Drosophila melanogaster: one gene and its partner. The protein of the gene in region 1 purifies or fractionates together with the protein of each later gene. This does not show direct contact. Each region holds a gene or a part of one and is shown in the gene's direction. Other genes may lie near its edges.

Region 1 (7,290 bases):
CCTGCGATCTGCACTTGGTTGGCAGCAGAAAAGGACAAGCCCAGCTTTCCGCTGCACGCGGTGGGTGCTCCTGATCCAAGCAGTTGTGAATCTTTCTGCGATCGATGAAGCCACAGTAAATTTCACACGTGGTCAAAAGTTGAGGGCGAAAAACAATGCAAGTCGCTTTGGCGACGCGGCCACTAAGACTTCTACCTCCAAATGTGGGACCGGCAGCAGGCTAGTTAAAGTTAGATCACGATTTAAACTATCACTTGGCAGTATTTGCCTTGAAAAACTCTTATCCGGTCTACACGATTCTCGTGGATTTATAATCAGGGACTTTGCATCAAATTAAACTGCCCTCGATCACGACTTTCCGAAAAGAGAACGGAAGTATGCAAATCAAGTGTGACCGTAGCTTGCTACAATCCTACACGGGAATTTTGTGGTATTTTATAGGGCAATATTCAATTTTGCCAGGATTTGAATTTGGCTATAATGGTTCGTTACTAAATGAGTGCGATAGCACATATAAGGTTGCCATTTTGGCTCGACTCCCACACTTTTATAATTCCCAAGTTCTCGACGTTCATAGGGACAGACGGACATGGCTATATCAACTCGGCTATTAATCCTGATCAAGAATATATATACTTTATACATACTGTCTGTTACATACTTACATGCTAGTACACCCTTTTACTCTACGAGAAACGGATATAATTATTGGATATAATTATTGTCAAAATCGATTCTTAGTATATTGTAAGTTTATTTAAATAAATACCAAAAATGCCCGATACTAATATCGTGAGTCGGCGGGAAAAAAAATTAACATTCCTTTTTCATATCAATATTTTTATATTTGTTTTTTTTTTGTGGAACCGAGTGGTGTTGCATAATGCTAAGTTTAGCCAAAAATTCGTTTGTATCTTACTAGTGCATAAAAATAGTCCGCTCCTACCGTTGAGGTATGCTTCTCGGAGTCTTTGTGTTATGGTAAATTTTTGTTACCACATTAGGCTTATGATTACATGGATACTAACCAAATAAGTAAATGTAATTAACCTTTTATGTTTAATGTTTATTTGACACCACAATTTTCTTCTTAACAAATTTATAAATCCGCGCTTAAAATATATATGTATATACATATATACAAATGTAACTAATTTTGGTAAAAGTATAAAAATGAAAATAACAGCATTACAAAGATTTATGTAAGATTGTTTATTATTATTGTTTATTATTAATTTAATTATTAGTTTAATTCTAAATGCGGTAATTATATAAAGTATTCTTAGTTTGTGACCGAACGACTGCTGCTGAGAACTCGACTGACTGCCACGCTGACTTCCACACCACTGCTGCCTTGCGATCGTTCCTTCGATGACTGATTGTCGATAACTTCGATTTCCGACAATCATGTTGCTGCTCAACAGCGCTGCCAACCGGGTTGTTGCCAGCCTTCAGCCTTACTCCATGTTACATTCGGCCCTCCTGATCATCATCATCCGACCCGGATGACAATAGGTCTGCATTTTCGGCTATGTACTTCCACAACTTCATGTTGTCACAGCTGGTGGATGTGACATTGGGTCCTTCGACGTTTGCTGCTTTTTTAACGTCATATCTGCCATTGTCTTTGACCCCTGTGACTTCGTATGGACCTAAATACCCGCTTGCCATCTTGCGGCCAGCTACAAATTGGGTCCTTTTAATTGCAACCAGATCACCTGCTTTGTATTTGTATTCAGCTCGGCGCTTTTTGTCGTAATTGCGCTTGTAGTCCTTCTGCGCCTGCTCGATGTTGCGTTTTACCAGCTGTCTCATCTCATAGCGGTCCTCGTTGAATTGACAGACCACTTCTTCTTGGAGCAGTTCCAGTAACCGATCCTCAACTCGGGTGTACATCTTGGTGCCAAACATGACCTCAAATGGTGACAGCTTCAGTGATGAATGCACGTGACAGTTGATCGCCTTTTGTACCTCAGGCACATATTTGTACCACTTCGACGGTTCGTCTGAAGACAGCTTTGATATTATTGCCAAAATTAAACGATTTACTCGTTCTATCTGGCCGTTGCCTCTGGCCACTCCAGTAGTTGTGCAGACGTGTTCCACGTTATGGCTGCTCATAAATTGTTCGAACGCACCACTCGTAAAGGCCGTTCCTTTGTCGCTAACAATTCGCTTAGGGAAACCAAAAATGTTTGACCAGTCGGTCAGCCTCTTGACCACTTCTTCCTGTCCGGTTGATTTGGTTGGGAATAACCAGACAAACTTTGAAAACGCATCGACTGTTGCCAGAATGTATTTATACTGTTTGGCCGATGAATCCATTGGCCCCAAATGATCGATGTGTAGTGTGTGCAACGGTGCGTCTCCTTTATCTATGCAATTTAGATATCCCTCCTGCTTTCCCAACTTTTTGCTGTGGATGATACATTTTATACAGTTAGAAATTAGCTTTTTTACCTTGTATTCCAAATGAGGAATAAAAAATTGCTGCTGTATGCTATGCATCGTCTTTTGCAACGACAAATGGCCAACTTCATGTGCGCTTTGAATCACCTCCCTCTCCATTAGTGCAGGGACAACCAGTAGTTCATTGCCATTGACCATACTATACAACAGGCCACCTTTTAGCTTGTAGGGTTGGAATAGACGATCTTTTAGAATTTCCGGGATTGCTCTAATTGAATCATCGTTCTGCTGCGACTTTTTAATACGTGCTGTCAACTCGGATGTTATCATCATGCATGCTTGGGGATGGCGGCTTAAAAAATCAACGTGTCTCATTCTTTCTCCTGCACGATGTTCGGGTTGAAAATTAAAATCCTGCATATAGAGAATCCATGGGCCAACTTCTCTTGGGACATCTGCTTTTTTTGTTGTCTGTTTAAATGCGACACAGTCCGTGACGAGCTTGAAAGGGACTCCCAATAAATAGTGTCTGAACTTTTTCAGAGCTAAGTATGCGGCTTTTACTTCAAGGTAGTAACTATGACGATTTGATTCGGCTTTTGTAGTTTTTCTGCTCCAAAAGCAGACTGGGTGAAAACTGCCTTCGAACTTCTGCAATAAAACGGCTCCTAACCCGTCCTTAGAGGCATCTGTATGAAGTTCGGTTTCTGCTTCTCGTGAGTAGATCCTCAATACTGGTTCGTTTACCAGAATCTCTTTCAGCTTATTCACCGACTGCTGCTCTACTGGTCCAATGTTGAAAATGGCATCTTTTTTTAATAGGTCCGTCAGTGGTCTCGCAATTTGGGCGTATCCAGGTATGAATTTTCTGAAGAATCCTGTGAGACCCAGAAATCCTTGAACGGCTTTTACATTCTGAGGTGTTCCAAAGGAATTCACTGCTGATGTTTTCTCTTTTCCAGGGCATATTTGTCCACCTTCGATAATATGTCCCAGGAAATGAATTCGCCTCTGCATAAAGTTGCACTTCTTCCATTTTATTTTTAGACCAAATTCTGCAGCTCTCTTAAGTACCATTTCCGTCTTTTCCATGCATTCTTCTGGGGTAGCGGCATATACAATTATGTCATCCATATATAGCTGCATTATATTGGAATTGATTAGTTCTTGAAAAATAAATTGAACGAACCGTATAAACGCTGCTGGGGAATTCTTAAAACCAAAGGGCGCTTTGTTAAACTCGAATAAGCCTTCTCGGGTAACAAATGCTGTGTACGGCTTGCTGGCTTCTTCTACGGCCACATGAAAAAATCCGTTCTGTAAGTCCATGGTTGTAAACCATTTGGCACTCTGCAGTTTTTCAAGCACCTCCTCCATTATGGGTACCGGAAAACAATCCATCAGAACCATGGTGTTCAATTTTCTATAGTCCACGCAAACGCGTAGGGTACCATCCTTTTTCTTGACAACGACTATGCGACTGGCAACATTTGATGTAGATTTACGGACGATTGACTGCTCGACCCATTCCTCTACCTGCTTCTTTACAGCTATAGCTTCTTCTTCAGATAGTCGGGTGTGTCCATGGCGAAAGGGTTTAATCACGCCATCAGGAATAATTTTGAGTTCGACTGGACATTGCTTTATCTGCTTGGGTGGTGTTTCGTATGTTCTCTCTATCATGCGTTCAACGTCTTCTCGGTATTGTGGTGCAACTGTAAAAGAAGATTCTTCACAAATATTAAACATTTGGGAATACTCAACCGCTTGTTTTTTATCTGCTTCCAGGTCAAGAAAAGTATAGCCTTCTGCACTACAGATAAGACGAAACTTGCTGATAAAATCGTGTCCCACTATTCCATCGCAACTGAATTTAGAATCGTGGACGACTAAAACGTTGTGGCTTGCTTCCACCTGGTCGGTCTTGATTAATGCTCTGAAGCATCCAATCGGCTGTGTTGAGGCATTTCCCAAACCTCGCAATACTGTTGCAGTGCGGTTTAAATCAACATCTTTCATCTTCTTGAATATAGCTTCTTTAATTATGGTCACATCTGATCCTGTGTCCACCAGACAGTTGATGATAATCCCATTTATGATTACTGGCTTTGTTCGTGCACTATCAACGTGAATGCGCATGCTGTTTACTTTTTCCGGACACTTGCTTGAGATATGGCCCTCTTGATTACAGCTGAAACATTTGGTAGGAAGTGTACAATCCTTTCGTTTGTGTTCCCTCGAACCACAGTTGAAGCAGTGATCTGCTTTTACACCTTGTGTAATTTGCTTTGGTTTTGGTTGAATATTCGGCTTGTCAACAATATTCAGACTCTCGTAGATTTCGAATTCTTGCTTTAATTCCTTAAGAGTTTTACAACGGAGCATAGCACCCTTATACTCCTTTTTAATGTCGAGGCCGTTTACGATATGAGTTATCAAAGCAACTGTTTCAACTTCACCTAAGGCTGCTATTTTCTTCATTTGTAACAAATAGTCGTGTAGAGTTTCCTCCCTCTTCTTCTTCCTGTCTTGCAACTTTTTGTGAATAACGGCGCTATTATAGCTGCCTGAAAATTCTTCAATTAGTAACTCTTTGAGTTCAGTGTATCCACTGACACATTCAGATTCTAAGAAAAGTTCTGCTGATCCAATCATCTTACTTCTGGCTTGAACATATTTTTGTTTCTCCGAAAGTTCATATGCCTCGGCATTTTTCTCAAAAATTTCAAACCATTTTTTAATAGGAATTGATTTGCCATCACAGTCACTTACAACTTTTTCAAATTTTTCTGCAGCGATAATTACTTGCCCCTCTTGTTTAGATTTTGCCAACATGCTCTGGGTTAGAGTATTCATCATTTGTTCAAATTTCTCTTCGACTTTAGCACTAGCGTCTTTATTCTGCTTCTTTGCCTCTGCTTCTCCTACAGGCGCCAACTTTTGATCTTCTTCGTTCATTTTTTCTTTTCTGCTTTCGTCCTCGCTTTCGTTCTCTAGAATTGCTTGTATTTGGTCGGTGTTAAGTTTTTTATTTGTAGGTGGTGTACGTGTGAACATTCCGCGACAAGGCACTAACACCAGCAAACAACGACAATGTTCTAACGGCGCGACGGTAGTCGATTTTGCAGACGGCGCCACCGGTTAAAAGACAAATTTTGATTTTCGTTAGAAACGAATTTCACCACCTTTGCAATTTAATTGTTTTAAATTCCACAACAGCAAAACGACTTGAGTCTGTATGAGTTCAATCGATTTTTTCAACTTTCAATGCAGTAGACGTAGCCATAACTTTACAACTTTAAAGACTAAATCCACGCACACGACAATTTCAACTTTATCAGTTCTCTCTAGCAGCTTTCCCGACTTTTACCGACTTGTGTTCAAACAAAATCTGTACAACTGATTTTTCCAACTTTAAATGCAATAGATATAGCCACAACTTTACAACTTTTAAAGACTATACCCACGCACACAACAATGTCTTTTTTCTTTAAACAACTGCACCTTCATATAACCGATTTAGGACTGGACGAGCCCCCATGTAAGATTGTTTATTATTATTGTTTATTATTAATTTAATTATTAGTTTAATTCTAAATGCGGTAATTATATAAAGTATTCTTAGTTTGTGACCGAACGACTGCTGCTGAGAACTCGACTGACTGCCACGCTGACTTCCACACCACTGCTGCCTTGCGATCGTTCCTTCGATGACTGATTGTCGATAACTTCGATTTCCGACAATCATGTTGCTGCTCAACAGCGCTGCCAACCGGGTTGTTGCCAGCCTTCAGCCTTACTCCATGTTACATTTATAAAACTGAAAGTCGTATTTAACCCTATTTATGATAATAATCATTTTTGTTTAGGCTTAGCAGTCATTTTGTTTTCCCCCATAAATTTATTGTTGCTATTCCTACATTGACTAATATTCCTGTTCCTGCAGTTAAATACGAAGGTACTTCTTTTCACAGTAAAAACAAAAATTATTAGAACGCGAGGTAACAACCATTTACAGATCCCACCTATTTTATTTACGTATGTGCCTAATTTCCACCCCATAGACACGGTTCAGCATCGAACACAGTAAAGGGGTTGGACTTCACCTCGTTCTTCTAATGAGTCGTAATCAAAACGAAAGCAACCTCCTTGATATCAATGAAGATCTGCCTTTTGCTCTTGCTCTGCCCCCCGTCTCAATGGATTCGTTGCAGCTGAACGCAGACGGCAATAGCCCCGAGGACAAGACGCTCGGTATTGGCCGTAAAACCATTTTGAATGCGCACACAAAATCTTTGGCTCCCATTGTGAGTGACGAGGCCCTGAACACGCTAAATGAGCTCCGCGAGCAAAATCTTCTCTGCGACGCCCAGATTTCTGTGGGGGAGGATGTGTTCAACGTACATCGTGCAATAATGTGTTCATGTAGCTCATACTTTCGGTGAGTTAATAACTTCACCCTGAATTGTGAAGATAACACGTATTCCCACCAGAGCTCAATTCACAGGGTTTAACGCTGACACTCCCGGATGTGTAGATGGGTCAGATGCAAAAAAAAACAATAATTTTATTCATATCCCCGGCGTGAGTTCATGTATAATGAACTGTGTAATACAGTACGCTTACCTGCGTCAAACAAACATCTCCGAGAGCAATGTTCATGAGTTACTTATCTGCGCTGACTACGTTGGCATGGTAGGTTTAGTTAAGAAATGTAAAGACTACCTCGGTCGCATACTCACCCCCGAAAACTGTGTCAGTATTATGGGATTCGCACGGTGGGTTTAATTCGCTAATTGTCGTAAGGAAACCCTTTTAATTGTTTTACGTAGGTTCCGATTTTTGGAGGACCTTCACCTGAAGGCCAGGAACTACACTCTA
Region 2 (6,566 bases), on another chromosome or scaffold:
ATATACTATATACACACTCACATTTTGAAGCGAATAAAATTGTGGATAATTGGAAATCAAATAAAATGCGTACTTTATTTGGCTGTGGGTCGTTGGAATATACATATGTATATAAATTCCAGGATAATAGGTTCTATTTCAATATTAAAAAGTCAGGTTTCGAAGTAACAGTTCCCGCACTTATAAAAATATTTAAACAAGCTATTGCAGATGTTTATCATTATTTAAATTTTATTTCATTACATCTACCACACTTTCCGTTTTTTTGGATACCGCTCAAATCATACAAATTCGCAAAAATCGAACAATATTATTTGTATAAGTTATAATCGCCCGCCCGTTCCTCGTTTTTACATATTTGTGCTTGTCTCTCGTTTACATTTTATGTATATAATGTTTATATATTTCGATCGGTGTAAGTTATATGCTTGTTTGTATATACAGTTTTTGCACGTGCACACGACAGGGTAATTACAACCGATGTCAGCAGCTTTCGTTGGCTCAGCAACTTAGCAACTCAGCAAGGATGCGCAGTGAATGTGTGGTTTGCCTTAGTTTTCTTTACAATTACGTTTTGTATAATGTATTTATCTATATATAACATATATGACTAATCGTAAGTTGCATTGACAAGTGGGTTGGATAGGGGTTTTTTCTTTTGATTTGAAGGGTAGGGCTTTTGGGTGGGGTGATGTACAATACGTTTTCGTAGCGCTTTCTTCGTATAAACTAAATTCGTCTAAGCTTTAAAAACAAAACATACAATACAATTACAATTCATAATCAAGAGAATTATGAAGGTAACATATAGAGGGCTGGAAATAATGCAATGGGTATTACTAGACACACAATCTTTGTTCCTGGTCGGACTCACTCATCACTTGTATCACTGATCACTTGATTTTACCGACTTAGTCAAGCTATCCCTAATCCCTTATATCCGCCTGCTCCTCTGACTTTCTCCGATCTTCGAGGATGTAAAGCTGTAACAACGCGAACGTAATTCCGTAAAAAGGTAGTTATTATTAGCACTTTATCTTCGTTGACTATGACTACGGGGGCTTTCTTTGTGTGGGAGTGAAAGATAAGCGGCGCACTGCTGACCCTCTAGCCATTCTCACATTGATGGCCCTCGCAGTTGCCCCAAAATATGCAGTTCCCGACGCCACTGTAGCATATCAGGGATACGGCTGTGAGGAATACGAGGCTGCAGATGGTGCAGGGCTTTCGCTCCAGGAAGAATCCGACCAGGTAGAGGACTATGAACATCACGTGCGTTTCCATCAGGGCCGGATTCGAGGGTTTCGGTATCAGTAGTACGGGCAGCAGGCATTGTAGGCAATACATTCTGTGTGCGGTTGGGTGGGTGGTTGTGTTGTTGTTGCTATTTCTGCTTAAGATTTGGGTTCTATTTGCGTGTGCGTTGACGTGGTCTTCCGCGCGGCCTGCAAGTGTCCCAGGATGACCCCGGGGGGTTGAGGTTAGTCTTAATTGTTCTATAATTACTATCATTCGTAGTCCTGGGCAAAGACCACAAACGTCACCAGAACGCGGATCTGTTTTCCCAGTTCTAGCACGGGTCGCCGCTCTGCGGGATTACCTCCGATTGGGCCTCCTGGCGCTGACCTCTCGATTTTCGGGTCGTTTAGATGCTCGCTTGTTGTGCGTCGTTTTAAATCATCACATATTTACCAAAATTTACTTGTCTGGGCCTATCGGGCCCTATCGATAAGCCTATGTGGGTCTGAGTGGCAGTGTGACCAGCTGCCCAATACCGATATGTTGGAACTAGTGATTGCGCGGAACCAATAATACCGCCTAAATTTGAATTCATATTTCTTTCTTAATAATAATAATAAATAATATTTATAAATGTTAAGAAATTGTTTAATAAACAAATGCAAACAAAAGTAGTTGTAATAAAAGTACTCTCGAACAACAAAACAGTACAACTGACTTACTATTAGGTATACATTTATCTGTACTTTCTTTTTTCTTTTTCATCGGAAGTCTTTTTTTTGTGCGCGGAATTGGCTCGAATGGGATATGCAATTTACATATAAACATAATATATGCACGAATATTTATGTACACATGAATGAACCGACGTATGGCAGCGGTTGATACATACAAATTAACTTAATTATGCATTCCAGTAAAGGGTGTTATCATAGATCGACGGATCGGTAGCCAGTGGTACCAGGAACATCCATCCAACAAATCCAGCTAAGTAGAGAATAATGGCCACTACTCGTCGCCAGAGATCCTGCTGCCACAGATCCTGCAGATCCGGCAGACCCATATGATTGCAAAACGCGTGCACCAAGATGGGAGCCATCACATGACCTGTACGGGCAAATAGAAAGGCCGAATAGAAGCCAAATAGCGTGGTGTAGATGAACTGGAACAGTCCAATCAATAGGGCAGTGCTCAACTCCACGCCTAAGCTCAGGCGTTCGGCTATGTGATGCAAGTGGGCTACTCCGAAGAAAAGCGGCGTTATGAAAACGGCGACCAGGGGCGAAAAGCTCTGCAGGATCAGGGGCATCATGCAGGCTCGGAACACGAACTCCTCGCTCAGCGGTGCTATCACATGGTTGCGCACCCAGATGATGCTGCCAAATGATCCCCTCCAGTAGTCCAGATCTGCAATTCAAATCAAGCAGTGAGAAGGGGCTGATAGGCAGAGGGGCTTTAACTATTACCGAAGTAGGAGCGCACGGACTCGTTCTGCATGTTGACAAAGATGGGTCCCAGGAAGAGCAGCACCGTCAGGCTGTATGGTATAACAACAGCCTGCCACAATCCCTCCAAGCGCAAACCGAGCAGCTTGGGAAATGGTACCCGGCTGAGCAGCTCCGGCGATGAGAAGAAGTAAACGAAGAACGGGGCTGCCAGCATCACCATGGACACACTGGCGAATCTTCTCTTGACCGTGGTTGGATGATCCCGGTTGTGTTTGGTGCTCCAGATGTAGAGGCTACCCACGTACAGAACAGCCAGAACGAAGCAACAGCTCACCGAAGTGGCCACCGGGATCTGGGGCAATGATTCGTGGACTACATTTTCTTGCATGGTGACTTCGGCTTCCGTCTCACTCAGGTTTTTCATTCAATTTGTGTTATTCGTCATTCTTCGCTGACTATTAGCCGAAGAAAAAAAGTACACAACGACAGCTGATTTTCAGCTGACTGCAACAGTAAGACCATTGCTTCGCGAGAACTAGTTCAAGATGGCAGTGGCATTTGGTATATTTTTATCACCATGGAAAGTAGTCGTGCTTCTTGGTCACATTGTGCAGTGATAAGCATCGTGGAACGGCGGCGATTTTCGGTTGTGTTTTTAAACTAAATTTACCGACAAAGTTACGAAAATAAATTAATACCAAGTTAGCCAAGGTATTCAGTTACCACCGCAGATCAGCCAAGATGTCGTTCCTACTGAAAGCAGTTACCACAGCCCGTCACATCGTTCATAAGGTTTCCTCGCACTCACATTCCTCTATAATATATCAACTCTTCGAAAAGAGAAGTTGAAGTGACCTTTGTCTTGGCTTTGTTTATCTTTCGATGATAGGTTCCCGTGCGCAACCTGAATCTGCTGGAGTTCCAGAGCAAGGATCTCCTCCAGAAGTATGGAGTGGCCATACAGCAATTCAAGGTCTTGAATAACTCCAAGGCAGATGCCGAGGTCGTCAAGACTTTTGGTAAGTGGAGGACGGAACCATGCCGGTGTTTATGTAATCCCTGGGCTAATTGGTGTTAAATGCTGTGCTTCTGTGTTTCAGAGTGCCCGGAATACGTGGTGAAGGCGCAGATTCTCGCCGGTGGGCGTGGCAAGGGAACTTTCGACAACGGATTCAAAGGCGGCGTCCATATCACCACCAAGTATTATAGATTAGGTCTATTCCGGCTATTCACATTCACATTTTATCTAAAAAATTAATATTATTTATGTTCTACAATATCATTTGTATATAAGATTAATCTTATCATTCTGCCCATATTGAAAATGATAAAAGTTTGTGAAAGCCAGAGTGTACCTTAAAAACACAAGTGATAAGACCAGCTTATACTAATAATTATTTAACATTTTGCCAGCAAGAGCGAGGTGCTTTCGCTTACCCAGCAGATGATTGGAAACCGACTGATAACGAAACAAACGCCCAAATCGGGAATTTTGGTCAACAAGGTCATGGTGGCACGCAGTATCAACATCACCCGCGAGACCTATCTCTGCATCTTGCTGGACCGCGAGCACAATGGACCCGTGCTGATTGCCTCACCTGCCGGTGGCATGGATATCGAGGCGGTGGCCGAGGAAACCCCTGAGAAAATTAAGACTGTTCCGCTAGACATTGGCAAGCCCATACCGGAGTCGACGCTCTTGGAGGTGGCCAAGTTCTTGGAGTTCAAGGGAGACTCTGTAAAGCGTTGTGCTGAGGAAATTCAAAAACTCTATACTCTCTTCAAAGCTGTGGATGCCGTACAGATCGAGATCAACCCGCTGGCGGAGACGGATAAGGGAGAAGTTATCTCCGTTGATGCTAAGCTCAACTTTGACGACAATGCCCAGTTCCGTCAGAAGGATATTTTCTCCATGGACGTCACCGAGGAGGAATCCGATCCCCGAGAAGTGGAGGCGGCCAAGTACAATCTGAACTACGTCGCCATGGATGGCAACATTGGCTGCTTGGTTAATGGTGCCGGCCTGGCCATGGCCACCATGGACATCATCAAGCTGAATGGAGGCGAGCCCGCCAACTTTTTGGACGTCGGCGGTGGCGTCAGGGAGGATCAGGTGGCCAAAGCCTTCGAGATCCTCACTGCTGACCCGAAAGTCAAGGGAATCCTGGTCAATGTCTTTGGCGGCATTGTCAATTGTGCCACCATTGCCAATGGCATTGTGGCTGCATCCAAAAAGCTGCAACTGAATGTTCCACTGGTTGTGCGACTGGAGGGCACCAATGTAAATCAGGCTCGCGAGATCCTGAAGAATTCGGGCCTGCCCATTCAGACAGCCAGTGACTTGGATGATGCCGCCCACAAGGCTGTGGCAGCCCTTAATTAGGGGAACGATTGAGGAGAGCATGTCTTCCAGAATGAAACGACGCTCATTAGCATTTACAACGGTTGGGCCTTTTAAGTATAAGTTTTTATCGACAATATAACCAAAATATGTTATATTCTATATAAAAAGCTTTTTATTTGATTTAAGAAGTACCTTAGCCATCTATCAAAAATTAATTAAATTTAAAATCATTTATTTCTTAATTTAAAAAATGTATAATCTAAATTGTTTAATTTACTGTTTTGAAATTTATTGGTACCGTAGCATTTGGTATTTATTTTGTGGCCCCATGGTATTCTGCGGTATTACCAGTGCGGCCACACTGCAGTCCACACCCAAACAGCAAACCAAACAAACATTTCCCCAGGAAACCAGCGAAATTCCAATAGAATTTCCCACTCAAAGGATGCAAAAACCATCCCACTTCGCACGCGAGGATTCCCAGGAGCACCTGCCCACCAGCCACACGCAAAACAGTCACACAGTGAACATGAAGAGACGCACACTATCCGGAAGTTGTGGCGTTGGCGTCTTCGTGTTCGCCTTTGCCTTCATCGTGATTGCGTTTGCAACGCCCAGTTGGTTGGTCAGTGATTACCGCATCACGGGCGCCAAGCTGGATCGCCTGGGATTGTGGGTGCACTGCTTCCGGTCGCTGCCGGACGTGAACGACGATAGCCAGCGGAGATTCTTCGTGGGCTGCCGTTGGGTGTATGACCCATTTACCACGGGTTACGATGAGATCCGTGGATTCCTGCTGCCCGCCTTCATGATAGCCACTCAGTTCTTCTACACTTTGGCCTTCATCGGGATGTTGGTATCTGCCATCGGAGTACTGGTCTTCATCCTGTGTGCTGGTCCGGATCAAAAGCACTTCATTACGCTCATTAAATCGTTGGGATATGTGCTTCTCGGTGCTGGAGTAAGTGCAGCCATTGCAGTGATTGTATTCGCTGGATTTGGCAACCGGAATGGCTGGATGCCGGAGCATGCGAACAATTGGTTTGGCTGGTCCTTTATCCTGGCGTGTGTGGGTACTGTGTTAACCCTGGTGGCGTCTACTTTGTTCCTCAGTGAAGCCCACGTGCAGCACAAGAAGAGAATTCAGTTCAAGGAATCTCAGACGCGATTTGAGCTGGTGCGCGGATAGTCGATGGTAAGTACTTGACTATATCCAAGTCAGGGTCGGTCGCTTAACCTTCTTGCATTGTCTATTTTAGCCGTGGCAGCTGGCACACTTGCACCAAGGAAAACACAAGCCAACCAAGAGGAAAACAAAACAAAAACATTCCGTCCCCTCAAAGAATTCTCACCCTAAACATTACAGTCGAACTTCTCTAAGGCGAAATATTCTAACTAACAGTTTCTGGTAGTGCACGTTTTTAAAGTTGGTTTATGTTCGTTTTATATTTTATTCAATGGTTTCCCTGTGCATAGGTTAAAGTATTCATGTCGGTAACATTCGTTTTATATTACCTTAAATCGTTTAAATAACT

The links. Proteins that work in one complex are often made in the same cells at the same time.
Region 2: the proteins of klhl10 (region 1) and ScsbetaG purify together in Drosophila melanogaster (affinity purification with western blotting, with the first as the bait; one study listed by BioGRID). This does not show direct contact.

What each region holds. Positions count from the first base shown.
Region 1 is NW_007931083.1:50,418-57,707, forward strand, and holds the start of klhl10 (kelch like family member 10), read left to right. Parts: upstream 1-3,024; 5' UTR 3,025-3,125; intron 3,126-6,284; exon of another isoform or gene 6,285-6,410; intron 6,411-6,473; 5' UTR 6,474-6,527; coding exon 6,528-6,850; intron 6,851-6,902; coding exon 6,903-7,187; intron 7,188-7,241; coding exon 7,242-7,290.
Region 2 is NT_037436.4:5,560,406-5,566,971, reverse strand, and holds ScsbetaG (Succinyl-coenzyme A synthetase beta subunit, GDP-forming), read left to right. Parts: upstream 1-3,280; 5' UTR 3,281-3,428; coding exon 3,429-3,479; intron 3,480-3,576; coding exon 3,577-3,706; intron 3,707-3,787; coding exon 3,788-3,887; intron 3,888-4,100; coding exon 4,101-5,070; 3' UTR 5,071-5,271; downstream 5,272-6,566. Other genes in the region: bc10, read right to left, coding at 1,108-1,347; Sras (severas), read right to left, coding at 2,144-2,646, 2,706-3,111; sinu (sinuous), read left to right, coding at 5,477-6,220.